Mytilus edulis: one gene and its partner. The main gene of each other region encodes a partner of the protein of the gene in region 2 in a complex. Links are inferred from orthologs where the notes say so. Each region holds a gene or a part of one and is shown on either strand. Other genes may lie near its edges. The genes, in order: protein archease-like; RNA transcription, translation and transport factor protein-like.

Region 1 (16,687 bases), on a different chromosome or scaffold from region 2:
TCAAGCTTAATACAGCTCTGAATTTGGGTTGTGATTAAATATTTGATACAGCATATTAAGTTACTCGAATAAATGTGGTCAAAGAACTGGATAATTTTAAATTGGACGTTTACCTTATATGGTAAAATGTGTTTTTTTTTGCTGTACATCTACTGTTTTTGTGTCATGGATGAATACCCCATATCCTTTGTTTTTTTTAATTATATCCATGAAATGTTATGTCAACATTAAAGTTCTGACTGCTGCATTAAAATATTGAGGTCTTTAAGTCTTCTTCATACATGTACTGATAGTGTGTGATGGATGAAAACATTAACATGATTAAAGTGCTGACTTCTGTATTAACAATTGAGGTCTTAAAGTCTTCTTTACCAGGGGCGTAGCTAGAAAGAAACGATGTGGAAGCAACTACCGCCGAGCGGAGCGATGCGAAAAAAATTTGGGACCCTATTATGCAGATTTTTTTTTTTCGGTTTTCGGTCATAGGACGGTAAAAAGAGGAGCTATATGTTGATAAAAATTTATGAATGTAAAACTATTAAAAAATCTTCTGAATATAGTAATACATAAACAACACATATTTGTGATACAGAATTTACTCAAAATTGTCCAAAATCTGCTCTTCAGGTCTGGGCAGAAACAAACTTCTCTATCACTTTGTCAACATTCACACTCAAATCCCGATGAATATGCAGTAATGCTATGTAACTTTCGTTGTTCATTGTTGATCGTACATTTGTTTTCAATTACATACGTAGTACCGTGACTGATAGATCTCAGGGCCATCATGGCATGGTAGCACTCGCGAGATGTTATAAACCAGCGTACGTGTTCCGCATCGAGCGACCTCCCAATTGAATTCGTCAAAATTACATGCTAGGTCAGTTTCTTATGTTTCAGACAATATTGAGATTTGTTCGTTTGTGATATTTCCTACAACACGATGAAGCAGATACAGCACAAAGAAGCGATTTTCTGATAACTTGATGCGACTCCACTGTCCAGTGGCCTTATCAAATGGTATATAAACGCAAAAAATAATGAGACTTTCCAATACTGTTTTGGCGTGGTTGCAGGGTGATTGTCTCCGGTAGTTTGTCAACCACATCGCCTTGGCATATTTTCAACGATATCGAAGGGATCTGATAATTAATGCCGATTGGTACATCTCATTCCCAACTGATGAACTGTACACTGTAAAATGTGCTCCAAAACTACATATCTTTATTCTTAGACTGAGTATTACAAATTCAAAAGTAAAAATCTTGTAAAAGATACAAGTTACCTTCCGATTTTGTCATAATCTCAAAAAAAAAATTTATTATGAAACCAAATGTCGTTATTTAATGATATTTCATCAATTAAAAAAAGTGACGACATAGGTGTTTCCCTTATTAACATTCAATTTATAAATTTTTATTTTGCCATTTCTTTTTTGAATGCCAAATCAATGTGAACGCAACTTCGGACCTACAATCTTTTTCTGAATGAACAGCTTCATCAACACTTGTAACTAGATTGTCAAACTAATATCCGCGATAGACGGAAAAGACACCAACAGTCTCCGATTCCGATTGACCAACTCATCCTTCTCTCTTCTGCTTTTTTGTTTTTGTTTTTTTGTTTGTTTTGTGAAAACGACGTGGATGTACGTGCTGTCGTGCTTCCGGGTAGCTACGCCCCTGTTTACATGTACTGGTTTTGTGTGATGGATGAAAACATTAACATGATTAAAGTGCTGACTTCTGCATTAACAATTGAGGTCTTAAAGTCTTCTTTACATGTACTGATTTTGTGTGATGGATGAAAACATTAACATGATTAAAGTGCTGACTTCTGTATTAACAATTGAGGTCTTAAAGTCTTCTTTACATGTACTGATTTTGAGTGATGGATGAAAACATTAACAAGATTAAAGTGCTGACTTCTGTATTAACAATTGAGGTCTTAAAGTCTTCTTTACATGTACTGGTTTTGTGTGATGGATGAAAACATTAACAAGATTAAAGTGCTGACTTCTGTATTAACAATTGAGGTCTTAAATAAAATTGAGAATGGAAATGGGGAATGTGTCAAAGAGACAACAACCAGACCAATTAAAAAACAACAGCAGAGGGTCACCAACAGGTCTTCAATGTAGCGAGAAATTCCCGCACCCGGAGGCGTCCTTCAGCTTAAAGTCTTCTTTACATGTACTGGTTTTGTGTGATGGATGAAAACATTAACATGATTAAAGTGCTGACTTCTGCATTAACAATTGAGGTCTTAAGGATGTACTTAGGTGAGGTTAGGTAAAAATTAATAAATTAAGAAGTTAAAATTGATTCTATAAGCTGGTAGAGCATCAATTAAGGATAAAAATAAGCTAAAAATATTGATAGGTCATGGACCTTCTTTTCGAGATATTTGAGATTTAAAATATGGCGGGAAAAGGCTGACTCTGACTTTTACCTTATATTTGCATTGGTATTATTAGTTCTCAAAACAAAAGAAAGAAAATTAAGAATCTTCTTAAATTTTGGTAAATGACCTTTCATGAGCTTCTAAGTCTTATATGAAAAAATAAATGGGTGTTATGGGGCAAAATATTTTACATTGTATTGTAAGGAAAAACACCAAGGAGTCCGAACATTTGACACAAATTCCAAAACCTCACATAAGTACATCCTTAAAGTCTTCTTCATACATACTCATACTTATAGATTATCTCTGGTCAAAACAACAAGATAGATTTTCTAGCTTGAGCTGGTACAGGGAAAGTGAGAAAAGCAATCAAGCTAAGATGACCAATGCTAATCTGTTTATTGCTATATTACCAAAAACAACGTTGTCTATTTCTTTGACAACAGCATGTGCGCCCATAATTACTGGCGATAATTTTTCATATCACTCTACTGTGCTGAGAAAAGAATTATAAGTCAATAAAATAAATGTAAAATTTTTGTAAAACAGCGATAATGCACAATACGACCTAAGTGTGTCTGTCATTTTACGAGACTGTAGTCTGGTGTCATGACCTTACCTTCCACTTCTATTTCCTGTGTGTCTGTCATTTCTACCCGACTGTAGTCTGTTGTCATATAACCAAACATGGCTGTTGCACATTGTTCAAATGCTTCTTTTAAATTATCTCCCCCTGAAAATCTCAAGTTAAGGAAAAAATAACAACAAAATACTGAACTACTAGGAAAATTCTCAAAACCGAAAGTCCCTAATCAAATGGCAAAATCATAACCTTCTCACGTATCAAATGAATGGATAAAAACTGTCATATTCCTGACTTGTTACATGCATATTCGTATGTAGACAATTAAAAACATTTATTTTAACTGCAATATAGAATTACATTTCTATTTGAGATGTCTGCATAATGAGTTAAAAGTGATCTATAAATTATTAAAAAAACTGGAGGCATCGTTCAGACTTTAGAATTAATGCAATAATCATGATCACTTTCGTCAGAAATATTAGCATTACATGGGGTATTATCTAGCCATCTTTTTTCTGGTGTATAGCATCTGCATTTGATTAATAACTTCTCCCACATTTTCTCTATTGATTTCTGTGCATGAAGATTCAGATGTATTACATAATTCATTAAACAACCAAATATATCTGTCCATACCTATGATATACTACATACACTCTCATTACCTGTGATTTATTTATATTGTTGGGTAACAAAAGGATACATGCATGCAACCTAAAACATATATATAAATAATTAATGACTTTTTATCATGTTAACATGGTTAATATTCACTTACAAAATGAATCAATGCTTATAGATTTTTGTCTTTTTGTCTGAGTCAGAAATTTTTATCACACTAAGCACAAATATTTTTTCCTTTATTTTTTTCAATGTTATCAATCAAATTATTTTTTCAAAATTTAACGCTTTAACATGTATAAGGTATGAGGAAATCTGGATTCAGAATATTTTTGTCAACTCAGTTAAAGGTTTATGTAACTCGGTTTGAGTTACTCGGTTAAAGGTTAGTGTAACTCGGTGTGTGTTACTCAGTTAAAGTTTGTGTAACTCTTTTAAAGGTTTGTGCATGTTGTGTAACTTGGTTTGATTGTGTAACTCTGTTAAAGGTTTGTGTAACTCAGTTAAAGTTTTGTGTAACTCAGTTAAAGGTTTGTGTAACTCGGTTAAAGGTTTGTGTAACTCGGTTAAAGGTTTGTGTAACTCAGTTTAAGGTTTGTGTAACTCGGTTAAAGGTTTGTGTAACTCGGTTAAAGGTTTGTGTAACTCAGTTAAAGGTTTGTGTAACTCAGTTAAAGGTTTGTGTAACTCAGTTAACAGTTTGTGTAACTCAGTTAAAGGTTTGTGTAACTCAGTTAACAGCTTGTGTAACTCAGTTAAAGGTTTGTGTAAATCAGTTAAAGGTTTGTGTAACTTGGTTTGTGTAACTCATTTTAAGGTTTATGTAACTCAGTTAAAGGTTTGTGTAACTCAGTTAAAGGTTTGTGTAACTCAGTTAAAGGTTTGTGTTACTCAGTTAAAGGTTTGTGTAACTCAGTTAACAGTTTGTGTAACTCAGTTAAAGGTTTGTGTAACTCAGTTAAAGGTTTGTGTAACTGGGTTTGTGTAACTCAGTCAAAGGTTTATGTAACTCAGTTAAAAGTTTGTGTAACTCAGTTAAAGGTTTGTGTAACTCAGTTAACAGTTTGTGTAACTCAGTTAAAGGTTTGTGTAACTCAGTTAAAGGTTTGTGTAACTCAGTTAACAGTTTGTGTAACTCAGTTAAAGGTTTGTGTAACTCAGTTAACAGTTTGTGTAACTCAGTTAAAGGTTTGTGTAACTCAGTTAAAGGTTTGTGTAACTCAGTTAAAGGTTTGTGTAACTCGGTTAAAGGTTTGTGTAACTCAGTTAAAGGTTTGTGTAACTCAGTTAACAGTTTGTGTAACTCAGTTAAAGGTTTGTGTAACTCAGTTAAAGATTTGTGTAACTCTGTTTAAGGTTTGTGTAACTCTGTTTAAGGTTTGTGTAACTCAGTTAAAGGTTTGTGTAACTCAGTTAACAGTTTGTGTAACTCAGTTAAAGGTTTGTGTAACTCAGTTAACAGTTTGTGTAACTCAGTTAAAGGTTTTTGTAACTCTGTTAAAGGTTTGTGTAACTCAGTGAAAGGTTTGTGTAACTCAGTTAACAGTCTGTGTAACTCAGTTAAAGGTTTGTGTAACTCAGTTTAAGGTTTGTGTAACTCAGTTAAAGGTTTGTGTAACTCAGTTAAAGGTTTGTGTAACTCAGTTAAAGATTTGTGTAACTTGGTTTATGTAACTCAGTTAAAGATATGTGTAACTCTGTTAAAGGTTTGTGTAACTCAGTTAAATATTTGTGTAACTTGGTTTATGTAACTCAGTTAAAGGTTTGTGTAACTTGGTTTGTGTAACTCAGTTAAAGGTTTGTGTAACTCAGTTAAAGGTTTGTGTAACTCAGTTAAATATTTGTGTAACTTGGTTTATGTAACTCAGTTAAAGGTTTGTGTAACTTGGTTTGTGTAACTCAGTTAAAGGTTTGTGTAACTCAGTTAAAGGTTTGTGTAACTCTGTTAAAGGTTTGTGTAACTCAGTTAACAGTTTGTGTAACTCTGTTAAAGGTTTGTGTAACTCAGTTAAAGGTTTGTGTAACTCTGTTAAAGGTTTGTGTAACTCAGTTAACGGTTTGTGTAACTCAGTTAAAGGTTTGTTTAACTCAGTTAATGGTTATACTCACTGCACATCAGCTGTATGATCTAGATCTGAAAACAAATACAAACTTATTACAATGTGTATACATGTGTTACTAACAATGTGTATGTACTGTAGAAACATTAATTTTTGTGGGGTTAAAATTTAGTGGTTTTGTCTCTCCATAAGATTCCATGGGGATTTAATTGTGTAGTTTCCTTAAATGTAAGTGGTATGATAAAGAGGTTAATCTTTGTAGGGGTTTTAATTTGGTGGAGATATTCTTTCCAAGAAATATAAAACAAAATTAAATCTCCCACGAAAATTTCTGATTTTACAGTATGTGTAACTAACAATGTGGATATATGTGTAAGTAAGACATGTAAGATTAACAATGTGTATATTACATGTATATGTGTAAATAAAATGGGTATATTAGGCATGTTCGGTGTACATGTAACTACACAATCAGTGTTTTCCACAGGGCCTTTTAGCATCATGATAATGTGATGCTATAATCTTAAATGTGATGTTATCTGAAGTCATGGAAGAGGTTTTCTTATATATTATGTTATGGATGTACATGTGATGCTTTAATTTTTAGAAACAAGATGGTATTTCAATTTCTCCTGTTTACCAGGATGCTATATAGAGGGAGGACAATAGGGGGTCCATTAACATGTTAACAACACCTCGATTTTGGCAAAAACTGTTAACAAAAAATGCAAAAATGTGGACAACAGTTAACAAAGTTGGTTAAAAAAACAGTTAACAGCTTAAATTGATCTCAGATAACAGTTAACAACACCTTGAAAATAACAGGTTAACACAAAAAGGTATTGTCCCCCCCCCCCCCCCCCCCCTATATAACCTTTTCATTATTGTTACATTTTTCATTTTAAGCATAGCCACCGCCTTAATTGTGCCAAGTTGTGGCTTGTAAGAGAGTAGTAATGCCCTTTATTGTCAGGCATCAAACAGTCATTTTTGGCAACCGTTAGTGTCAAATTATAAACAATTTTACCATGATTCTTCAAAATATCCTAAACATGATTTGTTAGAAATCTCAAATAATTTATTATTTTCATTTGCCTCATTTTTGGAAAATATTTAACGTGATGATTCAGAATCAGCATGATCAGTAGGACTTGTTTGTTTTCTAATAGAAAGTGTACATTCTATTTTCATGCACCAAAAATTACCATCAACATACATGTGATTCTACTGGCGGGAGTCAAAATCTCCCGCTTTTCAGAACCATGTAGGATGACTGATCACTTTATCTTGAATTATACATAATGAATAAATATTTGAAAACCTCTTATCTTTTATTTTTATCAAGTAAAAATTGATATGCAGGTGTTTAACACACAAAAAAAACCATTGCGTACGTCAATAAAAAGGTTGATAAAAAATCTCCAGTTATGAGACCAAAACTCCAGCTGAAAATTTCCAAATCTCCAGTTGTGGCTTGACAACTCTGTCACATGTATGCATCAACGTTATTTAGAAAGAATTTTTACCGTTATTCGTCATACCCACATTGCAAGTGGGTCTCATTGGGGTCTCTGCGTGATGCAGGATTGCTGATTTTTGGAAGCGTGACACATGAAAGTCAAATTATTGTGCCGCGAAAATTGGAAATGAGGTCTAGCGCCAGCGGGACACAGGAAATTCCAAAAAAAAAAGAGAATTGCTTACATACATAGTGTAAGCAGAATACGTGAATCTGACAAAATAGTAAGGGGGTTCTGAGATCAGAACTCCCCAATGAGACCACCTTACAACATGTACAAGTTAACATTTACAACCCTCTTGACTCTTTTAAAATTATATCTTGTTTTATAAACTATTTGTCTTACACTCATATTTGATGTCTGGAATTATTCTTTGATCACCACCTGCCATATTTGACGTGTTTTTATCGTTTTTGTCACATACAATATGTGTACTTGTATATATATACTTGGTCGTAGAATAAATATTGTGCAATGAACAAGAGTGTTATTATCGGATACATGTCAACTCGTACTTTCGGCAACTCGTACTCAGCCAACTCGTACTTTCGGCAACTCGTACTTCTACCAACTCGTACTTCTACTAAGTCGCACCCAATATTTTTTTAGCATTATAATATAAGTTTTCTTCGTTTATATCCGTAGAAATGGATATTTTAACTCCCTGAAGTATCCCAGTGCACCCTGAGGTACATGTAGATCCATAGAATATGAAAAGGATATTTTTTACTGAACATTGCGTTATGTCTTAGTTTTTTTCGTGTTAAGTGCAATCTTAAATATTCTTTAAAATGATATTATTTTCATAATTTGTGTACTGTTTCGTAGGGGACTTTTGTCCCCTACGAAACGTCTTCTAAACACACATGTTTTTTGCAATTTTAAATGTTTCCTATAAACATTCCAGTTTGTTTACTTTAAATACTAGAAAAATATCATTTTTTTCTGAATTGGAAAACCATTTTTATCGATAAAGATTAGACAGTACTTCACATATGAAGGTTCAACTTATGTTACGTAGTGGACATTTTGATGCGTTTCGTAGTGGACAAAACCGTTTCGTAGTGGACAAAAAGTTTCGTAGTTGACATCAACCCTATCATATGTTAATAAACACATAATAAAAATTACATGAAACTTACCCTTGTTATTTGTTTTGCACGAATATAATTGAAAAAAGATTAAAAAAAGAATGCATGGGAGTGGTAGTGTCCACTACGAAACGTTTTTCTTCCATACTTGTTTCGTAGGGGACCGTTTCGTAAGGGACGTATTCGCATGTTTTATTTTTTTCCCACAATCCCTATATTGCAATCGTAACAAGACTGATTGTATTCGTCAAAGCATTTATCAAGCTGTACACTGATATTATTTTCATAATTTTAAAACCAGATACTGAAGGAGATTTGACCCGTTTCGTAGTGGACATTATCAAAAATACGGTATCACTCTGGTCCATTTGATGTGCTCAATTTAATGATATACGAAAGAAAGTTACAATAACTATGCATATAAACTTGATAAATAATATCAAATAAAACATGGTTACGAGTTGGTAAAAATAGGGTACGAGTTGGTTGAGTACGACTTGCCGAAAGTACGAGTTATCTTGTTTTATAAACTATTTGTCTTACACTCATATTTGATGTCTGGAATTATTCTTTGATCACCACCTGCCATCTTTGACGTGTTTTTATCGTTTTTGTCACATACAATATGTGTACTTGTATATATATACTTGGTCGTAGAATAAATATTGTGCAATGAACAAGAGTGTTATTATCAACGTAAAACCCCTGTGCTAAATTTAGAAGCCTTGTTCCGAATGAACTTCCGTCCGAATTGACCAATCAGAGACATAGATACGATATTTGTTCCAACATGGAAGACAGCGAAGATAGTGGTGAATTTGAAGATTTAGAAATTGATGAACAACATGTTGTTAAGATCCAGGTCTTTAATATTTTACTTTTGTTGTGTTCAGAATCCTGACATTACTACTGCAGTAGAAAAGAAAAAACCCGACAGTAACTGTAAGGAGGAAAATCGCCTCCGTAGTCAGAATGGCCTTTATTTGACTAAATTATACTATATAGTATTAGTAATTGAGAATAGAAATGGCAAATGCCCAATGGACTGCCACCAATATGTCTTCGACACAGTGAGAAAATTCTGCAGCTGACCCTAGTCCAAATAATTATGACTTGGACTATAACTGACTAAGCTGACCCCTAAACAATAACATAATATTAATAAACACAACACCAATAAAAAGGGCGCAATCGAGGGTGCGAGAGTTAAAGGGAGAGAATGTGAATTGGTGTGATCATGTTTTTGGGCGATAGGACCCGGTTCTGTTTCTGTGTAGGACTCATTTTTGCTAGCAAAAGCCAGACATAGCATTCTACCAAATTTGGACAGACGCTTGTTTTAATATGATCATAAGATAGTATCCAGAAGTAAATTTTGCAAAAATAAAATTTCTATTTTTTTCGTATTTTAATTGTAAAGTTTTGCTGCTAGTGTAACATAAAATATTGTCCCCCATGAAATATTGTCTTTCGGACAAAATTTCATATAGAATATTGTCCACTGACAGTATTTCATAATAAATAATATGAAATATTGTCCTTGTCCATGAAATTTTGTCACCTCCTTCTGGACAATATTTCACTATGAAATTCTGTTCATGACAATACTACACTATGAAATACTGGCTTTGAAAATAATTTTTAATCAAATTATTATACAATTAGAAATAGTACACAAGCATGCAGCATGCACATTTTTAGATTTATAACTGAAATTGTTTTGAATAGCAAGGAATTTATATAATTACTAATAGTGAGTTTTAAATTTGCATATAGATACATTACAAATGGTTTACATGTACATGTATTATAGATTAAAGAATTGTCTTACGCATGTTTCATTTTATTACAGTATACTGTACAAATATAAGTAATGAACTGACAATCACTTATTTTGTAAATTTATACACAAGCATGTGTTGCAGGAAAAAAATCCTATATACCTTGAGGCTTCTCTAACATGAATATATATGTTAATAACCTCCCCTTCATGAGACAAAATTCCATGACAATCTGTCTATGAAATATTGTCTCAATACCCACAAAATATAACCAAAATATAACCTTCCTTTAATAGGACATAATTTCATAGTATTTATCTGTGAAATATTGCCTCAATTCACACAAAATATAACCTCCCTTTAACAAGACAAAATTCCATAACATTTATCTGAGAAATATGGTCTTTATACAGACAAAATTTCGCTATGAAAATTTGTCCTTCTCTGGACATTTTTCCATAGACGAGCACAATATTTCATGCTACATAGTTATGAAATATTGTCTTGTGGTACAATATTTCATAGGACAATATTTTGCTTTACACTTGTACATGATTGTGTACATGTGCATGATGTGGTAAACATTACATGGCATTCACTCTGGGACCAGTTAAAGTTTTTAAAATATTAATAACTTTCTTAAACTATCCTGGATTTGTACCAAACTTGGACAGAAACTTGTTTATGATCATAAATAGTATTTAGAAGTAAATTTGTTAAAAAAATAATTTGTTTTTTTCCATATTTTAATTTAAAATTGACTTAGTTTTTCTGCCAGGAAACAATACAAATTCACTCTGTCATGTCTGTTGTTAAAGGTTTTTTAAATTTTAATAACTTTCTTAAACAATCCTGGATTTGTACTAAACTTGGATAGAAACTTGTTATGATCAAAATATAATATCTAGAAGGAAATTAAATGGCTCCGTGTTGAAGGACTTACATTGACCTATAATGGGTTTATTTTTTTAAATTGTTATTTGGATGCCAGGAGAGTTGTCTCATTGGCACTCACACCACAACTTCCTATACCTATCCAAAACACTTTTATAAATGAACTAAAATAAGAAAACATACAAGACTTACAAGGCCAGAGGCTCCTGACTTCATGGACTTGGGAAGGGTGCAAAAATGTGGCAGGGTTAATCAGGCCTCTACAATAGCTTTTTTTTCAACTGGAGTTATCTTTCTTTGTCCAGAATAGTAGTTGAATCAACTTAAATCATTGTTTTATACAATATACAATGTATATTCCCTTTTACAGGCCTCTACAATAGTTTTTTTTTCAACTTGTCCTGTAGGACAAGTACATACCAAAACTTACTTGTCCGAATGAAATTGTTACTTGTCCAAAAAAATTCTATTAAAAATAAATATTTTTGTGAAAAAAATTGCGGGTATGGTATTTATTATAAGGAACAGAATAAGGTAGCAAAATGAGGTACTGATTTGTCTTGGTCTCAAAATGTCTCCTGCCATGTCAAACTGTCTATCAACCATGTCTACTAAATATGTCTCCCACTGTGCCAAACTGTCTATTGAACTTGGAGCTGAATCTTTCGAGGTGACGAGGTGACGAACTTACTGTCCTGTAAAGTTATCTTATCTACAAAGCGCATCATTGATTCGGATTAGTAAGAATAGTATACCTTTTACCTGTTAAAAAGTACTTGACAAAGAACCAGTTAAAAATTATCGATTGCATTAGTAAACATGTCGAAGAAAAAGGTTTTGCACTTGAATAAACAGAATACAGAAACTTGTCAAATTAATATTTGTTTTCTTGTTTTTTGTTTATTATTACTTTGTTCATCAAAATTGGATTAAACTTATTTTCTGCAGAATAATTGCACTTGCCCCAACGGACAAGCTTGATACAGCTTTTACTGTCTGACCTTTTTTCCCTCTGGTACCAGACAATCAGACAAGCGTTATTGTCGAGGCCTGTTACAAAATGTGTTAATCATGTTTTGTGTGGCCGAATCAAACATTACAATGTTAATACAATGCTGTTCATATGATTGTCCTAATAAACATACTGACATATTTTTCTCACTCGCAGTTAGCCCTTTTTTACCCATTTTACAATTCTAAAATTTATGGGATGAAGAACAATAAGGAAAATCAAAGTTTTGTACAATTTATATTTGTGTTATCAAACAGAAAATGTGAGTGGGGTATCTGTGTTCTATGGACACATTCTTGTTAAGCCTCAAAAAGATTAACTGTTTTCATGTGTGCATGTTGTTTTTTCTGCCAGTTAAGATTACATTCACTCTATGGTTAAGGTTTTTTTAATTACAAATTTTTCTTATCTATCCTGAATTTGTACCTAACTTGGACAGAAGCTTGTTTATGACCAAATGATAGTAAATACGTCTACAAGGACATTTTGTTAAAAAAAAATCCTGTTTTCTGTTGTTACTTCATTGTACTTATAACAAATGTATAAATGGACTTAGTTTTTTTCAAGATAACATTACATGCAGCATGTACAGTTTGCAGTTAAAAAATTAAAAAAAAAATTTAGATTCATAAACCAAACTCACAGAAGCTTCTTCAAATCAAAAGATAATATCCAGCGGAAATTTTTAATAATTTTTCACCATCTAGGTTGAGTCTGTGACTTATAGCAAAAGAAGGCGAGACACTGGGTTCCGCTGAACCCTTACAAATTTTTGTGCTTTTAAACTAAGGCCAGGGTTTTTTAATTTGTTGGTTTACAGATTTTTCACATGAAAAAGACGGGGAAAATTACAGATAAAAGAATTTTGTTTTACTTTTAGGCATGGATCAGAGGAGTCATAGTCAGAAAATGGTTTAAAGGAATGCAATCAGAGTATGAAAAGATAGTTTCTGATATTGAAAAAAGTAAATCAGTCATTGTGGAATGGCCACATGCAGCACTGGGCAAGCCCAGAGTCAGGAAACACAAGCTAAAGAGAAATGTTGGAGAAGTTACTCCTAATGTCTCAGCACGTAACTCACCAAATATTGAATCTCTGAGAAGCTCTATAAAATATCATGAAATTCATGCCAAATCAAAAGACACGACAGAAGTTCATCAGATAAATTCTGCAAGAAGTTCCAACTCAAGTGATTTCTCTGAAACTCCCTTTAAACCTGTTGTTCCATACCATACAGAATCACAGGGAAAATCAGGAGTTATTTCTAATTTCTCCCATCAAGCATTAACAAATAAAATCAACAGTTGCACCATTGAAACACAAACTAGTATGGACGAAGAAACTATATCAGTGGTAGAAACACACCAAAATAACAATCCAAGGGAGAAAATTGGACAACAAACAAGGGAGACAACTGAACAACGAACAAGGGAGACAACTGGACAACAAAATCCAGTTAGAACATATGATATGTTGATTCAGACTGATGATCTACCTTGTTACAAGGAAGAAACAAATATAGACACACAGACAGAAAAGGGGAGCACACAAGTTCACACTACAAATAGACAAATATTGGAACAAAAGATCAACAAGTTTGAAAACCAACTACGGACACTGAACGATATATCACTGAAAGACTCTGTACAAGATTCAAGGAAAACATCTCCTCAAAATAACAAAACTCCTTCACAACTGGGTCAGAAAGTAGGTCCTATTCCTGCACTAGAATTTGGAGGTTCTCCTAAACAGGAGACAGTTCAATTATCTTCTGTAATGGAATCTCAAAGAGGAAGACATCCAAGCTATCATCAAGAATCCTCTGTATTAACTAATGTGACTTCAGTATGGGATAGCTTTAGCTCTGATTGTAAAGGTAAGTAAATGCAGGTGAAAAAATAGGAAAAATCAATGTACTGAGATACTGTTTACTCAACAACCTCATCCAAATTATAAGTCAAATCTGTGTTCTAAACACTACCTGCCTCTCTCATGTTCGTCATTTATATTTATCTATAAATTGTTTTCTTATAAATCTATTTTTATAATATCAAAGTTTGGAATTCTATTTTTGTCTTAAAATAGAGTGTTACATTAAATTACTGATCTGGGTCCCTGTTGGAAGGAATTACTTATTTAATTACTCTATATTGCCCCTATTGTCTGACTTGAGGGGATTCAATTAAAGGTGATACATTTTTTTTTATCACAAGCGGTAATAAGATGAAAGTTTAAAATTTAAGACATGGCTTTGCCATAAAGAAACAAGAAAAATAACATCCTGAAAATAATTATAGCGTCGTGGAAATAATTATAGCGTCACAGGAAGAAAATATAGCGTCGCGGTACCGCGATGCTAAAACGGCCTGGGGAGAACACTGATCTATTACTGAAAGCTGTATGGCTGGTAAACATACAGTGATATTGTTTGCCTCAAATTACAGCCGAAATTCGGCCTTTTCCCCTAGAGAAAATTCCCAATTACTAAAAAAAAGGGCTTAAAATTCCTCCCAAATTTTTTAACATTTTCCCAAAACAGTGATGGCATTGGTAGTAATGTTTGTAAATTTCGTATTCATGTTATTATTTTGATATTAGAAAGCACTTTTGAGATCCAGTGTTCTGATCAGAATCATCATGGTGTTTGTAACACATGTGGTTTTCAATGCATTAAGTACCATCATTGTTTTGGTTTCTTTCCCCCCTCTGAAAAGTACCTTTCAGGTTGAAAATGTATGACAACCAAAATATGCATGAAAAAACAGTGCAAAAAAGACAGCAAAGTTCAGCAAAAAATCGGAAATGTGTTAAGAATAAAAAATACAAATTTCCCAAATTCAATAAAAAATATGCATTTTTCCCAATAAAAAACGGTAGAGGTAGTTTTGAAAAAAGACAACAATATCACTGACATAAGGGACCAGTTAATAAAAAAAAATTTGGCAAACCATGAGTCGGTGAGACAGAAAAACAACACAGCAAGTAGTAAAGCTATATATTCTGTTAAACGGTTGACAACAGACTGATTTGCGGATGTTTTAAAGTATGCAAGTCAGATAATCAATTCCCTATATACAATTATTAATTGAGAAGGCTACAACTCCGTAAGAACCCATGGCTACATGTAAATAAAGTATTATTTAACAGGAGTTTCATATTTATATTGCTCTGAAAGAAAGTCTACTGCTTGCTGTTCAAACAACAAAACTACAACATGTTAAATTGTTTGTGGCCTCAAAGGGAACCTAAATATTCAGTTGTTAGCTGTGACAAAACAAATGCGAGTGCTAAACATACAGGTGGTATCATCGATAAAAAAATTACGCATTGCCAAACTTGCTTCTGATATAGAATGGGATGATACTGAACTCACACTTCATTCTTATAGAGTCTGACTCACACTTCATTCTTATAGAGTCTGACTCACACTTCATTCTTATAGAGTCTGACTCACACTTCATTCTTATAGAGTCTGACTCACACTTCATTCTTATAGAGTCTGACTCACACTTCATTCTTATACTGAAGCAGAGTCTGACTCACACTTCATTCTTATACTGAAGCAGAGTCTGACTCACACTTCATTCTTATAAATCATGACTATGACAACAATGGGATGATACTGAAGCAGAGTCTGACTCACACTTCATTCTTATAAATCATGACTATGACAACAATGGGATGATACTGAAGCAGAGTCTGACTCACACTTCATTCTTATAAATCATGACTATGACAACAATGGGATGATACTGAAGCAGAGTCTGACTCACACTTCATTCTTATAAATCATGACTATGACAACTGACTCACACTTCATTCTTATAGAGTCTGACTCACACTTCATTCTTATAAATCATGACTATGACAACTGACTCACACTTCATTCTTATAGAGTCTGACTCACACTTCATTCTTATAAATCATCACTATGACAACAATGGGATGATACTGAAGCAGAGTCTGACTCACACTTCATTCTTATAAATCATGACTAAAACAACATTTTGTTCTAAACCATTTACCATACTTGGGAAAATAAAATGCTGACAAGCAATGTCAATGAATTGTTATAAAAAAAATGCAACAGTGGTGGAATAGTTGCAACAAATCAGACCCAAATTAAACCAAAACATTGCTTGTTAGTGTTTAAACCAAATAAAGCGACTATCACCTACATGTACATGACATACATATTGACTATCACGTACATGTACATGACATACATATTGACTATCACGTACATGTACATGACATACATATTGACTATCATGTACATGTACATGACACACATATTGACTATCACGTACATGTACATGACACACATATTGACTTTCACGTACATGTACATGACATACATATTGACTATCACGTACATGTACATGACATACATATTGACTATCACGTACATGTACATGACATACATATTGACTATCACGTACATGTACATGACATGACATACATATTGACTATCACGAACATGTACATGACATACATATTGACTATCACGATCATGTACATGACATACATATTGACTATCACGTACATGTACATGACATACATATTGACTATCACGTACATGTACATGACATACATATTGACTATCACGTACATGTACATGACATACATATTGAGTCTTTATTGACTATCACGTACATGTACATGACATACATATTTGAAAAAAACATATATTCAAGATAACAAGGGATGAAAATATT
Region 2 (17,089 bases):
GCTGCATTAAAGTTCTTAAAAATCTTTAACACAGAAAACCTTAATGAGTAATAATCAAGGAAATTTTCAAACACTGTGAGTAAAATAATCATTGAAAGACACTAAAACTCAAAAAGATAAAGTCCCAGACCAAATATCAAATCATTCTTCCATAAAAAAGCTGAATAATATAAAAGGAAGGTACAAAATTTATGTTTTATTTTCAGCAACAGTAACCATGATGTTTATTCTAGAGGAACATTAGAAAACAGTACGAGACTTCACTATTATTTGGCCTCGTTGCTTTAAAGAAACGATTTCTTTTAACGTTTCCAGATTGACTGATGATAAGACAATATTGTTATAAAGGGACATAACTTAAGAACAGTAAATTCAACGCTACCCAAATGTATACTTGATATGAGTATTGTGGTAATAAGCATTGTGTATTAGTTTCATAACATTTGAGGCAAACTAAAGGAACTGTGATGATATTGCCTGTCACAGTCTTCAATACCGATTAAATGAATTATACATGTAATTCCTACAAAACCTACTGATACTTACAATCTAAATTATCTAATGGATTTGAAGAGACCCCAGGGGGTGCTTTACTTTGTGTAACTTTCTCTGGTGTAACTGTTTTATACTGGTCAACTGAAATAAAATACATTTATGACATACATTTCAGTTTTCAAAAAATTAAATATTTCATAATTTTTCATCAACATGATCAAGATATTTTAAGTTCTTTTCTCTTTAAATTCTACTAGAACACACCCGCGAAATCGCGGGCATTTAGAGCGTAGTTTAAAGTATGTAAAGTGTTGTTGGAAGAATTTTGTAAAATATTGAATGACTGGAGAATTTCAGCAAAAGTATCATAAGTCATATATAGGTTATTTGGGACAGGAAAATGCTTTTTATTTTTCATCCCTCCTCCTTTATTTCCAAAATTCCCAATTTTTGGTTTTCTATCAATTTCAATATGAACATAGTTTTCATTTAGATTTATGAGTTTGACTGTCCCTTTGGTATCTTTCGTCCCTCTTTCATTTAGTATGTAATGAACATTTAAGTAAGGAGCCTGTAATTCAGTCGTTTGTTTATGTGTTACATATTTGTTTTTCGTTCACTTTTTGTACATAAATAAGGCCGCTAGTTTTCTGGTTTGAATTGTTTTACATTGTCAGTTCGGGGCCTTTGAAGCTGAGTATGCGGTATGGGCTTTGCTCGTTTTTGAAGGTCGTACGGTGACCTGTAGTTGTTAATTTCTGTGTCATATTGGTCTCTTGTGGAGAGTTGTCTCAACATGGCAATCATACCACATCTTCTTTTTTTTGTAATCAATGAATTTTGTAAAAGATTTAATGACTGGAGAATTTCAGAAAAGGTATCAAAAGTTCACATGAATATTTTTAGCGCTTATCTGTATATTATGAACATCATCGAGTCATTACTCTAAAAATATAGTGTATTTACTTTCAATATCGATCCATGGTGGTCATTGATATAGTATACAGACCCTCTCTATTTAAGAAACTCTGTGACCGCCGTGGATAGTAAACTTGAAAATGATAGCAAATAGAATTCTGAAAATACACTTTATTCTTTGTATATGTATGTACGGTTATGTATGTTCAAAGTATACAGAAAAACGCAAACCGGAAGTCTTATCTGACTTAAAATTTTGTCCAATGACGGGACAATATCCGGATGCCTTTTTTCTCGTTTTTCTCCCAAAATAACTCAATCTGAATAATCATATGAATGGATGACAAATGCGACTATGCACTGTACCTATAGGACACAGAGGCGTGTTGATTAATTTATTGTGGAAAGGAGAGAAGCGACACCAAAAATGAGGTCTTCTCGTTTAATAGTATAGATAGGTGAGATTAGATTTAAAACATTTATTTTATTTTTTTTGAATAAATGCATCCACACCATTTGAACATATTTAACTTTGGTGGATAGTTGTCTTGTATTAAAAATCATACCACGTTTTCTCATTATTATAATGTTCTAGTTTCCCCTCATTAAGACATTGTAATTGTATATGTTATCTGGTAGATTTGTGATACTTTTTTTTATTTTTGATTCAAGAAGCAAAAAAGAGACCTTATACTTTCTCCATTGCCCATCAACATTTACAGTTATGAGTCATCTTTAATATTTTTTCAGTTAATTCTTCTTGAAATTTGTGCAAAAATGCATAAACTGTCAAGTATCCATCAATCAATAACATAACTACCAAAATAGCCTCATTTTGAGATCTTATCTTTCAAATATTTAAATATGAGCAAAAGCTTTACCCAACAAGAATGTGTCCCCAGTACACGGATGTCCCACTTGCACTATCATTTTCTATGTTCAGTTGACCGTGAAATTGGGGTCAAAACTCTTATTTGGCATTAAAATTAGAAAGATCATATCATAAGGAACATGTGTACTAAGTTTCAAGTTGATTGGACTTCAACTTCATCAAAAACTACCTTGACCAAAAACTTTAACCTGAAGCGGGACGAACGGACGAACAAACAGACAGACGGATGAACAGACGTCCAGACCAGAAAACATAATGCCCCTCTACTAACGTAGGTGGGGCATAAAAAGTTATTTTGGTATAAACAGAATGTATTTACATATGTATGGAAAATATATTCTTTGTGGGTATTTCTGTAAGGCTGTTTGTTGCACATATCCAATTTGTCGGGAAAATATAGAGTGTGTAAAATGGTATTTTTATGTCAATGCCAGGAAAGATTATTCAAATTAATATAAATACACTTTTCTTCCAGCCAGAGACTTTTCTCAGAAATTGCCATTACTTAGTACCATTCTCCCAACTTGGCCAATATTCTAATTCCAATCTATATCTGTATTTCTTACCATTATCACCATATTCTAATCTGACTGAATATCCTAATATCCAATCAATTAATAAAGATCTTTGGGATGGTTGGTAAGGACATCCTAAATCCTCTAAATACTGCTGAAAATGTTTTGTCCAATCACTGCTAGGCATGTTACGTAGCCCTGTCCTATCTTCAATCTTATAATGTCGGATTTTCTGGTCTTCCAACCAAACAATAAAATTTCTAAAGTAGTTCTCATCTGAAAAATATTAATTTTAAGTAATATATTATATTACTGTCTATTGCCAATGTAACTTTTAGTATTAGGAGCTAACAACTACATGTACAAATGTACCCCAGGATCTATTCAAATTTCAAGTACAATTCTAAGACTTGTCATTTAAAAATTTTATCATTATATTTAGGAAAATGTCTGCAAGGGGAAGCTACAGAAGAAATGTACATGAACATGTACAATGTATTGTGTGCAAACATAATATTAAAACATAATTTACGACTTGTTTCACAGAAGGATGCGTTCCAATTTTCCTTTAGGAGCACATGCGATCTACCCAGGTTTTTGTATTGCTCAGTCTTTATTTTTCTTTGTTGTATTTTGTAGACTACTGTTTTCTGGGTTTTTTTTACAAGTAAATCATTGAGAGTGTACAGTTACCTGTATGACTTAAAACAGTCATAATAGATAGTTGATTATAACACCCCAAAGAACTTATGTTATTGTTATGTGACATGCCAAATACATTTATGTATAAAGCTTTTGCTTGATTTGAGTCTTTGCATTTCCATTCCTAACTATCTATTTCAAGGTTCATTTTTCATCCAAAAAATTCTTGTATCCAACCACTGTGAAATAAATATCATAAATACTGCTATCAAAATTGACAGCAGCACTTAAGAAAACCGCATCTTTTATCGATCAACATGCTACCCCGATTAGATCAGCATTAGATCAGCATCTTCAGGACGAAGTATACAAAAACATTTGTAGAATCTCTGAAGTACAAAATAAATGGGGAATGTGTCCATAGGGACACAGATGATGCCCCCACTAGCGTTTAACATTATAAAGGGACATAACTCATGAACTGTAAAAGTGAAGCTGCCAAAATTTGAACTTAAACTGAGTTTAGTGGTAATAAGCATTATACATGTATATACATTTCAGTAAATTTAGTTGAGACAAACTTTTAAAGTGAGAGAATGGAAATGAAAAAATTTAGTAATTTTTCCATTTGTAAAGGGGCATAACCCTTGAATGGTAATCAAAGTGCTTGTAATAAAATTGAGAATGGAAATGGGGAATGTGCCAAAGAGACAACAACCTGACCATAGAAAAAAACCAACAGCAGAAGGTCACCAACAGGTCTTCAATGTAGCGAAAAATTCCCGCACCGGAGGCGTCCTTCAGCTGGCCCCTAAACAAATATATACTAGTTCAGTGATAATGAACGCCATACTAATTTCCAAATTGTACACAAGAAACTAAAATTAAAATAATACAAGACTAACAAAGGCCAGAGGCTCCTGACTTGGGACAGGTGCAAAAATGCGGCAGGGTTAAACATGTTTGTGAGATCTCAACCCTCCCCCTATACCTCTAGCCAATGTAGAAAAGTAAACGCATAACAATACGCACATTAAAATTCAGTTCAAGAGAAGTCCGAGTCTGATGTCATAAGATGTAACCAAAGAAAATAAACAAAATGACAATTATACATAAATAACAACAGACTACTAGCAGTTAACTGACATGCCAGCTCCAGACTTCAATTAAACTGACTGAAAGATTATGATTTCATCATATGAACATCAGGCACAATCCTTCCCGTTAGGGGTTTAGTATCATACCATCATAACATATATGAGAAGAACATAACCCGTGTCATGCCAACAAATGGTTTTTTAATAAATGTGTTTAGTTCCGATGCAAAGACCCTATAAGTGAATCAATATTAACGCCAAAATATGCAATCTTTAATGACCTGACAACAGTAAGCACTGATTTGTAAAGATTGCTTTAATTTATCAGTTGGAAGTAAAAATGAATAAAGCATTGGGTCCAAGACCACAATTGTCGTCCCTTGATTTTCGTTGTCCACAAATATAGTCCATAGTGTTGACAGTGGGTTACTTGCCATTAATTTTTATACTCCTTAAAAATTTATTTCTCCATGTTTAATACCTCAAATTGCAAGTAGGGGGGTAAAAATTTGGGTCCAGAATTTTAAAGGAAAGTAGTGATTTGGTCCAGTTAAAAAAGGTTTAAAATAAGCACTTCAGAAGCTGTCAAAAGATTTCAAGACGCCCTAAACATAAAATTGTCCATATTTTGAGTTAGAGTCGATGAAGTTTTCTGTAATTTTAATATAATTTATCCCAAAAGTAGTACAACACACTTTAAAATTTTCATTGAGAAAGCGCAGGTGGGATTTTTTAATTTTTCATTTATGTTCTAAAAGAAATGCACTACGAAATAATTGTGGTCACGGACCATTGGTTGATTTAACTACCATTCTGGACAAAGAAAGATAACTCCAATTTTCAAAGATATTTTAAAAATGAACTTTTATATTTTCAGAACAGACATTTTGATTTTCTAAAAGGACATAACTCTTGAACTGTATAAGTGACACCACCAAAATTTAGTCTTGACCTGTGTTTTTTTGGTAATAAGCAATGTGTATAAGTTTCAATACATTTGGTTGAGACAATGTGTATAAGTTTCAATACATTTGGTTGAGACAAACTATTTAAGTTAGAAAACGCAAACCAATTTAGGAATGTATGGACTGATGGATGGACGCACAGATGGACAAGGGTAAAACTTAATGCCCCCTCTGCTACCGCAGGGGCATTAAAATAGTTTATGGATAGTTTCTTACTTCTGAAGTATAAAGCTTTTATGACACATAATTTACGCAGTTGTGGTTACCTCTGCCAGATTGTAATTGTGTATCTTGTATTCTGGGACTTTCAAAGCAGGCGATACAAAACCCATGGTTGAAACGACTTAACAAAGTGTGGCCCAAATGACAGTACAGTAGACGATAGCAATGGTATTGTCTAAACAAGTATGGTCGAACATTGGGTACAGTAGAATCTGTGTACACTCCCCATTTTGGCATTGATATTGATTTAAGGATTAATTAAGGTGTATCACTAACTTCAGGAACTTATACACAATTCACCACCACGGACAATCCGTTACCCAATTACCAGGGGGTGTAATGATACAGGACATTGATATTATGGAGGAGGAAGCCGAAGTACACGGAGAGAAACACGGCTGGGCACCGGTCTCATCGGTGCTGCATCTTATAAAAACAAACTGTTCTAAGCCCTATACAATACCCTACCTTCGGGATTAAACGTCTCTGGTTGAGGATAATCTAAAGCTAAGAGTTTTCTTTTGTACATAATTTAGCTAACAGGTTACAGAAAAAATAAAGTAAAAGTTTCCAACGACAACGTTTCCACACTTTGTGGTCTGGTTTCAGTTTTCATCATAAACCAGTCAATTGTGCACATGAGTTATTTGAGTTATTTCCCTTAAAGAGAAACCTAATGGAAGGACATCGATGTACCGTAAGCATACCCAAACTACCACAATTAGAGGTTGATGAATGTTTGTATGAAAGCTGCTGTTTCAAATATATTTATGAAGGTAAGGCCTGATGCAAAAGTTCTAGAGAAAATTGTCATAAATCAGGAAATGGTATATGTGCTAATAGCTTCAGCTCAAAACCTAAAAGTTATAGAAACAAACATTATCAAACAAACTGTCTTAATAAAATGTAAAGGTTTCAATGCTGTATGCCTTAATGTTAGACATATTCTATCTAAATTTGACGAGTTAAAAAATATAATTACTATAAACAACAAATATCTAGATTTATTTGGGTTAGGGAGCTACCATTTGATTTTTATGGGGTTGGGCTAGGATGAAAAATTTTGTCCTGCATTTTTTTTAGTTGTAATCTCTGTCCTGCCTTTTTATTTTTCACTCTATTCGGTCCTGCATTTTTTTCTTATTAGTTTATCCTGACTTTTTTTTACCTAAATGGTCATCCTGCCTTTTTTTTTTTGCAAAGTGTCTCATCCTGCCTTTTTTTTTAACTCAAAACTCCTGTCCTGCCTATTTTTTTCAAATTTCATCCTAGCCCCCCCCCCCCCCCCCTAAAAATCAAATGGTAGCTCCCTTAGTTGATACATTCTTAAAATCTACGAAGGCTACATGTGTCGGAGAAAATCGGACACGGAAAGGGCTTGAATTATTCGAGTTAATATTAACATTGAACAATATAAAGTGCCAGGATAAAAAATTTCAGAAAAGATCGCCAGAGTAAGGATGTTGGTGGCCATTTGGTTTATGTCAAAGATTTTATTGCAGTTAAAAATAGAGCTGATTTATCCATTAATACATTAGAAACTTTATGGTTAGAGGTAGAATTTCAAAAATCTAAACCTTTCTTCATTTGTACTCAGTATTTATAGACCACCAAATTCCCCTCAGTCCTGGATAGATCTTTTTGAGGAGGAATTTAATGCAGCTCTTTCAGAAAACAAAGAGATAAATTTAATGGGGGACTTTAATATTGACTTGATAAAAATTGAGAATAAAAAATGGATGAATTTCATAAACAATTTTAATCTTCAACAACAAATTTGCACTGCAACACGTATTTCACGGTGACAAATCGGAAACTCTAATTGATCAGATTTACACTACTAATCCTGAAAATATTGCCCATTGTCATGTTCCTTCATATGACCATATCCTGTATGCTTGAATAGAAAAATCAATATAAAGATAAAGAAAGAAAATCGTGTCGAAATAAAGTATAGGTGTTTCAAAAAATTTAATGAAGATGCCTTTTGTACAGACTTACATCAAACCCCTTTTCATATTGTTGAAATGGAAGATGATATTGATATTGCTGTTGACAAATGGTATGAACTTTTTAATCAAGTTATTAACAAGCATGCACCAATGAAAACTAAAAGAATAAAAACATTTAAACAAGCCGAATGGTTCAATGAAGAAATTAAAAATTCTATTCAATATAGGAATATGTATCATTCAAAAAAAGATTGGGTAAACTTTAAAAAGTGGAGTAATAAAACAACGTCGTTAATATTTAATCAAGGACGTATATATACAACTTAATATACGTCCTTGATTTAATGAGGGGGGCAAGGGGTTTAACTGTTATGCTGTTATGGGGCATTTTAATTCTTTGTTATCTGTTATTCTGAAAATATATTTACTGTTAGCTGTTATTGTCTTATTCTTTGTTAGCTGTTATAGGACTATTATCTATTTTGTTATCTGTTATTGTGAGAATGTATTTGCTGTTAACTGTTATTGAAAATTGGAATGTTAGCATTTTGACAGCCAATCTTCCGTAGAATTTGAAGATAATTGAAAATTGTAATTTGAATGGATAATAATCTCATTGGCACGCTTACCACACCTTCTTACAATGTATATCTGTTGGGGTCTTTCTACTGGTAATATCGGGTGGCCCTGTATTTGCAGAAGAATTTCAGTAACATACATCACATCAATCTTATTAAAAACCGATCTCTCATCGCTCCTGTTTCTGATATGTCGCGTGGGACGCGACATAACAGAAACAGGAGCGATGAGAGATCGGTTTTTAATTAGATTGACATCACATAAACATATTAAAATCAATTGGACCCAGGACCATTCCAGTATATATTATTATTATACTTTGTAATAAATTCCATTGTCTGTGAACATGTAGCATTTTGTACAAATTATAATTCACTTAATTATTACTTGTACATTAACTTATAGTATGGATTTTGTTATAAAAAAAGCATTGGAACACCCAACACCCTATAGATTTTTTTTATTCAATGACCACATAATAATGTTTATGTTGTACTGTTTCAACACTGTTCCTGATTAGGGGAGGATTGGACACCAACTAGCATGCTAACGTTGACGCAATCACATTCTGTATGTGCCTACTTTCAAGTCAGGATCCTGGATTCAGTGATTGTAGATTGTTACTGTATACTAAGTTTCTCGTTCACTATTTTGTGGATAAATTAGGCAGTTAGTTTTCTCCTTTGAATTGTTTTATATTACTAAGTGGTATGGGTTTGAATTATGACTTTTGAAATTATACAACATCTTTTTCTTTTAGCATTTATATTATAAGTGCTACTCCCCCCTATTTTCATTTACATGAAAGAGAACCCTGACCACCATATTTTTAAAAGCTTTTTAACTGCTTCACATGGCGAAAATTGAAGCTCTGAAACCATTGATGCAAATAAAGATGTGTCTTCAGTTTAATTTTTCAACAAATACCCTTTTAAAAATCCTACAGCTTCTCCAATGCTGTACCCAAATTTTCCATATTCTATAATTTCACATAAGATGCATGATTGGTGTTTCACTTGGTGTCATCCAAATTTTCACTCGGTCCAAATTCTATTATCCTATCAGAATTGTCACTTGAGGCAATTTCTATTATCAGAAGAACCATAACTGGCATGCGTGTTTCAGTTACATGTCCTGTCTCAACTGATCTGGGTATTTTTGTATTTTATAAGTAAGTTTTATCATGAGGTCATTAAATAAAAAAAATATATTGTGCATCAATGGTTTTTTTTATTACTTGTAAAGTATGTATATTGCTTTTCAGAAGAAAAAAAATCTAAAAATCAATTTGATAATAAAGTGTCACTGGCTGCACTATTTTCAAAAATTAAATAAAAAAACCTAAATCATTAACAATTGATCCCAAAAATGCCCTAGATTAAAAATTTCCCTATATCAAAAACAGAAACTAGTAATTTCGTTTAGAAAAATTCAACAATCATACTATAACTTATTGTACAAGTTACGGAAAAAATCAACCAAGGCAGAACTGCCTCAACGGCCGAAACGTCTTGTTTACACAAATTACAATTTTCTAGGTCCATACCACAAGTTATATACTAAGATCTACGAGTCATCTACTGGATTGGTCCTGGGCAGATTTATTTTCATATTTCATTTACTGTTATCTGTTATTATCCCTTTTCAATTCCTTGTTATCTGTTTTTCACCAAATCAATTCACTGTTTTGCTGTTATGGGGACCCCCCTTGCCCCCCTCTTTAATGCAAAAAAGGAATATTACCAAAACTATAACTAGTTCCAAAAATAGTAAAGAACTTTGGAATCATATTAAAGAGTAAAATCCAAAAGAGGATAATATTTTTTCCAACTAAAATGCAGTATGAAAATCAAACTGTTTATAAAAACCAAGATATTGTAAATACTCTTTATAAGGACTAGAACACACCCGTGATATCACGGGTCCGTGATTGAATTAAAGTATATAACTATGCGCAAGCCTTATTTTAGTATTATTATTGTCATCTGTTAAAGTCGTGCCGATTATAAGATACACAGTTTTTCTCTGCTTTCAAGTCTATCTGTTTGAACCCGTCGAACTGGAACTTATCAATTATTGGTAATATTAATTATTTGGAAAACAAAAGGTCCTGGAATGGAGTATTTTTTAATCAACAGCATTGTCCTATATAAGTTTTAAGTAAAGTTGAATTCTTTGCCTCGCTGTTTTACGTCATGCCCACTAACAAATTGAAAACTGTACCTACTGATACGCCTTATTTTTAGTCCAGATTTTTAGTATTCGTATTGTTATCTTAGAAAGTCTAACTGATTAAAATACAACAATAGGTAACAATTTGACAATTTAGTAGTGTCAACCCTGTGGTTATGACCCGTGTATATAGCATATTAATCCTGAATACAACGTTTGGTGGTGCGCCTGTCAGATGCGGAACGTACAGATAAGGTAATAGGTAACAGGTGAATATACTATTGGTATCGGTAGCGGACTCGACCCGGAACTTCTTCATTATTGGCAATATTAATTTAATACGTGGAAAACAAAATTTTTAACCTACACCTTTGTACTATATTAGTTATATATAAAGTTGAATTCTGTGATTCGTCGTTTTTACGTGATGACGGCTGACAAATTGGACCTCGTAATTTTAGTATTATAGATGTACTTAGGTGAGGTTTTGGAATTTGTGTCAAATGTTCGGACCCCTTGGTGTTTTTCCATACAATACAATGTAAAATATTTTGCCCCATAACACCCATTTATTTTTTCATTTAAGACTTAATAGCTCATGAAAGGTCATTTACCAAATTTCAGAAGATTCTTAATTTTCTTTCTTTTGCTTTGAGACCTAATAATACCAATGCAAATATAAGGTAAAAGCCCGAGTCAGCCTTTTCCCGCCATATTTTAAATCTCAAATATTTCGTAAAGGAGGTCCATGACCTATCAATATGTTTAGCTTATTTTTATCCTTAATTGATGCTCTACCAGCTTATAGTATCAATTTTAACTTCTCAATTTATTAATTTTCACCTAACCTCACCTAAGTACATCCTTAATGTTTATTTTTCATCCGTAGCTGAAAAACTTATTGGAAATAATACTTCAGATATTGATTTTTCTATGCTACAAAATTTTACTGGTAAAAAATTAAAGAAAACTGAAATTTTTTTAAAACTCATGTCTGTTGGAGAGGTGTGTTCTCAACTAAAACATCTTAATATTAATAAATCCACAGGTTTAAATGGAATTGGTCCCAATTTTTTTAAAGCTATGTGCAGAAATAATATCGCCATCATTAACTTTTTTAATAAACAAAAGTATAACTTCAAATCGTTTTCCGCAAAAATTAAAACTTGCCAGAGTAACTGCTATACATAAAGGAGGACCAAGAGATATTCCCTCAAATTATCGTCCAATTTCTATTTTAAATACCATATCTAAAATTTTCGAGAGACATGTTTCACACAGTTATATGAATTCCTAAACAATACAAAATTGTTACATATCGCCCAGTCAGGTTTCAGACAAGGTCATTCGTGCCATATATATCATTTTGTTCTGGTATCACCTAAGTTGGACAAAGGTAGTATACAGAAAAACACATTAGTTTACATAACATTGCATATATGTACATTTGTTGAGGAACAGCGCTAACTAAACTAATTGACGAATGGTTAAAATATTTAGATAATGGAGGAATAGTTGGTACAGTGTTTTTAGATTTTAGTAAGGCTTTTGACCTTATTACCCATGCCATACTTTTAGAAAAGTTAAAATTTTATCATATCGGAGAATACATGATAGATTGAATAAAATCATATTTGTCTGAAAGACAACAACAAGTCTAATACGCCAACATTAAATCTGATAAATCGTTTGTAAAGTATGGAGTGCGTCAAGGTTCTATTTTAGGTCCGCTGTTATTTTTGATATATATAAATGACTTACCACTTCATGTTATACAATCCAACATGAATTTATATGCTGATGATTCAACATTGCATTTTCATGATAAAAACATTGAAAAAATAAACAGCATATTGCAAAATGATTTAAATGCTATACAATCTTGGTGTAACAATAACAGTATGAAAATCAATGCACAAAAAACAAAGCGTATAAATTTAGGTTCAAAACAAAAACTTACACAACTATCAGAATTATGTATTACCGTCAACGAAACATGCATTGAGAATTTCCATTCTTTCAAATTACTTGGAATTGACATTGATGAAAATTTAAGCTGGGAAGATCATGTTGATCGTATATATGTAAAATTATCTCATCTAAAATATCACTTTTATATAAAATTAAAGTATATTTGCCAATACACACAAGGCAACTATTTTATAATGCATATATTCTACCATATATAGACTATTGTAGTTCAGTTTGGGGAAATTTTTTACAAAAAGATTCAGATAGAATCATAAAACTTCAAAAAAGAGTAGCAAGAAATATACTGGAATGCGATATTTCTATTCCATCTAATTTCATGTTTCCATCTTTAAAATGGCTATCTTTTACCAAAAGAATATTAAAAAATACCAACAATCAATTCTAATGTATAAAATTGTAAATAGACTAACACCTGATTACTTAGCAATGCTAAATATTGATGATGTGCAACACCACAACTTACGATGACGGATCTGTCTCCGGAGAAAGGTAGAAAGACCATTCACAATTTGTTTTACATTCGTTTTTGTCTTTTAATTAAATAAAAATAATAATAAACCTTTCATATGTAGAGTTAATCAGATAAAAATATTCCCTGTGGCCCCCCCTTTTTTTTTGTGCCCTCTAATTTCAACCCTCGAATTAAGCTTTCCAATCTAATTAAAATTAAAACCTTGCTTTCTAACCAATCTGTTCATGTACCGGACCGGCAACTTTCTTTATTTAATACGAAAATCTACAGTGCCGTTTAATATACACATGCATGTTGTTTGCTTGGAGTATACGCCCAAAAAGAAAGAAATAGCCTAACCCAAAGATACTGCAACACGTGATTTTTACCACGTCGAGCTTACATTAGAATAAATACCGAATATGGAAAGTGAAAATACAATTCAAAACATAAAGTTCGAAGGCACATATAAGAAAAAGAAGGGTTTTTTTTTGGCAAAGCGTGCCGTCGTAATTCTCTCTGTGTTCAAAATATACATGAAATATTTGCCACTGCCCCTTTTTTGTTCTATAAATTCTAACCCTGAGTTTTCTATCTGTTACTAATAATGATCTTTTTGTTCCAAGACCAAATACAAATTTTTATAAAAAAATCTTTTCATTATTCTGCAACCAAAGTATGGAATAATTTACCACTCGAAATAAAAAAAATGTCGTAATGTGGAATTATTCAAGAAACATTGTTATAAATCATTTTCTTGACAATTATATGCAAGTCAAATAATTTGTTTTCCTTTAACAAGACTTTATCAAGTATTGCCATTTATTACCATTTGTATATTTGAATGATTGAATTGTGTATATACTAGTAATATATATTGTAATTTATATTGTATTTTAATGTATGAATTTTAAGTGTATGCATGTATTTTGTTTGAGGGCCTTAATGAAAATTAGACTTACCGTCTTGAAATAAAGAATTTATTATTATTATTATTGTAAGCCACCCGAGAGCATCCTGTCCTATACTCGGTAGTTTACTTTAATAACACTTAAATACAGTGTGTGACTCATGTAGCAACTCTACATTTGTATTAAACTTCCCAAATTACTTGTCAGGTATGGTCTTCGGAATGTTTAATATGTATGTATTGAGCAATCCCTTGTATTCGAGTGTTACTGAGCTAATTTTGTTCCTAACGGCTTTCCATAGTTTTTATGTTTGAACGAGCGTCCTCCAACATCTATTGTTTTCATCAGTGTAAATTCATGTGCTTTTTGTATGTGTCCAAGTTCAATAAAATAAAGTTATCTTTCCAATGTTAACAGTTTTTATTTGTTCACTGTTAAAAGTATGTAACATTATAACATCGTAAAACTATATAAATAAACAGTTGCGTTCAAGTGTACTGAATCATAAATCCTTAAATACATATTTGTGGTGTCCGACGTGGTGGGAGATAGCTTACTGTACAAAAGACGGCTAATTACATATCATTAAACTTCATTATGTTATCCTTATTCTCACCTAAAGGTTATAGTTACTTTATTTGTTTTCCAAGGTTTGAACTTGCCGCCAGCAAAACTTTGGGCTATCTGCCATTGCTGAGTGCTCGCGCGTTTATATACTGAATACGTAGGTCTTGTTACCATAAAATCATAAATATCTGCAAATTTGATTATTGGAAATTTGGTTTGGTCACAGATGGTGTAAGTCACTCTATTGAAGGGCGGGAGGTTTTCATTTTGTTCACTGGGAATCGTCACATCACCTACTAGGACTGCCTGCTTGATAATCGGTGTTAAGGTAGATGAAGGAACTTGTTCTGTCAGTATATCCGAAATTATCCTTTCCTTTTTCTTCTTTTCCACTTCAATATTATGCTCCGCGGCAAGAATCTTTAAAGAACTGAGATTTAACTTATTTAAACTTTCCCGGGTCGCCATGTTGGTATCTAGTGTAAACAAGTTGCCGTCCGGAAGCGTTTATGCGCATGCTCGGGATTTATCGTGAAAGGGCTTATTGTCACGTGACATACTAATCCAATGGAAACTTGTCCTTTCCGGGAAGCCGGAACTATAAAAATTTCAGATAATGAAAAACATAATATACATATCATCTTAAGTTGTCCGAACATTGTCCTTATACATAAAATATCAAAACAAAGCTATAGCATCTAAAATATCGATAAAGAAGCTTGAAATAAACAATCGGACACCACTGCGCGCGCATTGATTTAGCAGACGATCTGCGTTATTACATAATACGTAAATAACATACAACATAGTTCATTTCAACCATCTAAATATTTACAATATATTTGTGTCCGGCAGGGTATACTTATTAAAAATCTTATCTGTGGTATTAAAAATACAATATTAGATCAAATGTCCAGGGGACGAATTGGTATTTAAAGATATCAAAACACATGTTTCGGTCCCCACAAAATGGCAGACGACAAAGTCTCCGTAAATAAACAATTCGATTGAAGTATTTCCCTATGTATATCAGGCATATTAGACGTTTAAATATGAATATTTGGTTACAAGAAATGATCCTTAATACGGGAATTACATGATATATAGCATGTAGAAGGTAAGCCATGAGTAATTACATACATTCCCTGCCGTAACACTTGTACAACAAAAAATGTAAACAAATGAAAAATTCATTTCACTTCCAGTGTTTTACACATTAAAAATTTGATAAACTTGATAATTATCACCCTAGTACTAACATATGTACACACCTAACTTGTAAAACTATGTTTTAGCTAATGAAATGCTTCCCCCCTTTATATTTGGTAAACAACAAAATGAAACTTTGGCCTGTGAAATCCATACATAAAAATAGTAAATTAATGCCATATCTTTGATTAAAAAAATGTTTTACTTGCTCGTGCGAGCCAAGTTACTATGCGTAAGAACACAACCGTTATGTTTAAAAGAATAATATTTCCTTTTTCTGAATTTATAATATCATAACAAGTACTTCCAATGCCTTACATTATTATTATTATTATTATTATTATTATTATTATTATTATTATTATTATTATTATTATTATTATTATTATTATTATTATTATTATTATTAATATTATTATTATTATTATTATTATTATTTATTATTATTATTTTTATTATTATTATTATTATTATTATTATTATTATTATTATTATTATTATTATTATTATTATTATTATTATTATTATTATGCAAGAATGTGTGATTTGGTATTTTTACAGCAATTTTACAGCACTGAAATATTCATGGGTATTCCTATCAAATATGTTAAAAATCTAGGTACAACTTTTCTTGTTTTCTTTTTACTTCAACTTGAACTTGTGCATAATGAGATGATAACATAAACGGTACCAAATCAGTTTCTGTACCAGATGTGCATTTTGACGATAAATGTCTCTTCAGTGATGCTGGAGGCTTAAATATATATTTGAAAATCCACGGCTTAAGTTAAAAAGAATGAAAAGCTATAAACCAAAAAATACAAAAAAGTGTAATTATAAGGCAGGACAAGGAATCAGAGCTTTGCATGAGGGAGATACCGTCATTCCTTAATGTTTGGGAATTGCAACAGGCAATTTCATGGACATTTTATTGTAAGGAGTAGGTCCGGTAAGGACCGATTTTGGCCTCAAATTTCAGGTTCATCTAACGAAAGATTTTGGACACTTTTTAAACACTTAAGTGTCTATTTCAATTGATTTGATTAATTTTTGGGAAAGATTTTAACTGATTGAGTCATTAAAAACGCTCCGATTCAAGCTTAAATATGGAAAATCTATCAAATATGCCAAATAACGTCACTTTTCAGTTGGTTTTTGTCAAAAATGAAAGTGGCCGCATTCGTGTTCATCCTCAACCTTTATATATGTTATGTATTATCGTCAAATACAACTTACATTTTAATATTATGAATGAACACGAATGCGGCCACTTTCATTTTAGACGGAAACCGTCTAAAATTTAACTAAAATTCACAAATTGTGCAGATTTCAGTAATTTAGCATGACTTAATGATGCCAGAACCCGATATATGTACATTGTATTGTCAAAAAACAGCCTATATTTATGTAGCAGAAGCATTCTACTTTCCAATAAATAACCAAAAGATTACAATTTCACAATTTTGTAAAACTGCTATATTTTGGGGCCAAAAAGGGGTCTTACTGAACC

The links.
Region 1: RNA transcription, translation and transport factor protein-like (region 2) and protein archease-like share a complex: the UniProt entries of both Homo sapiens proteins name them as parts of the tRNA-splicing ligase complex. The link is inferred for Mytilus edulis from reciprocal best matches to the Homo sapiens genes RTRAF and ZBTB8OS.

What each region holds. Positions count from the first base shown.
Region 1 is NC_092355.1:81,404,014-81,420,700, forward strand, and holds the start of protein archease-like, read right to left. Parts: upstream 8,999-16,687; 5' UTR 8,871-8,998; coding exon 8,825-8,870; intron 7,684-8,824; exon of another isoform or gene 7,582-7,683; coding exon of another isoform or gene 7,536-7,581; intron 5,745-7,535; coding exon 5,720-5,744; intron 3,704-5,719; coding exon 3,693-3,703; intron 3,137-3,692; coding exon 3,023-3,136; intron 1-3,022. Other genes in the region: uncharacterized protein, read left to right, coding at 9,072-9,143, 12,849-13,845. UniProt on the Homo sapiens protein: Component of the tRNA-splicing ligase complex required to facilitate the enzymatic turnover of catalytic subunit RTCB. Together with DDX1, acts by facilitating the guanylylation of RTCB, a key intermediate step in tRNA ligation.
Region 2 is NC_092346.1:102,671,707-102,688,795, forward strand, and holds the start of RNA transcription, translation and transport factor protein-like, read right to left. Parts: upstream 6,387-17,089; 5' UTR 6,276-6,386; coding exon 6,215-6,275; intron 3,097-6,214; coding exon 2,872-3,096; intron 637-2,871; coding exon 547-636; intron 1-546. UniProt on the Homo sapiens protein: RNA-binding protein involved in modulation of mRNA transcription by Polymerase II. Component of the tRNA-splicing ligase complex and is required for tRNA ligation.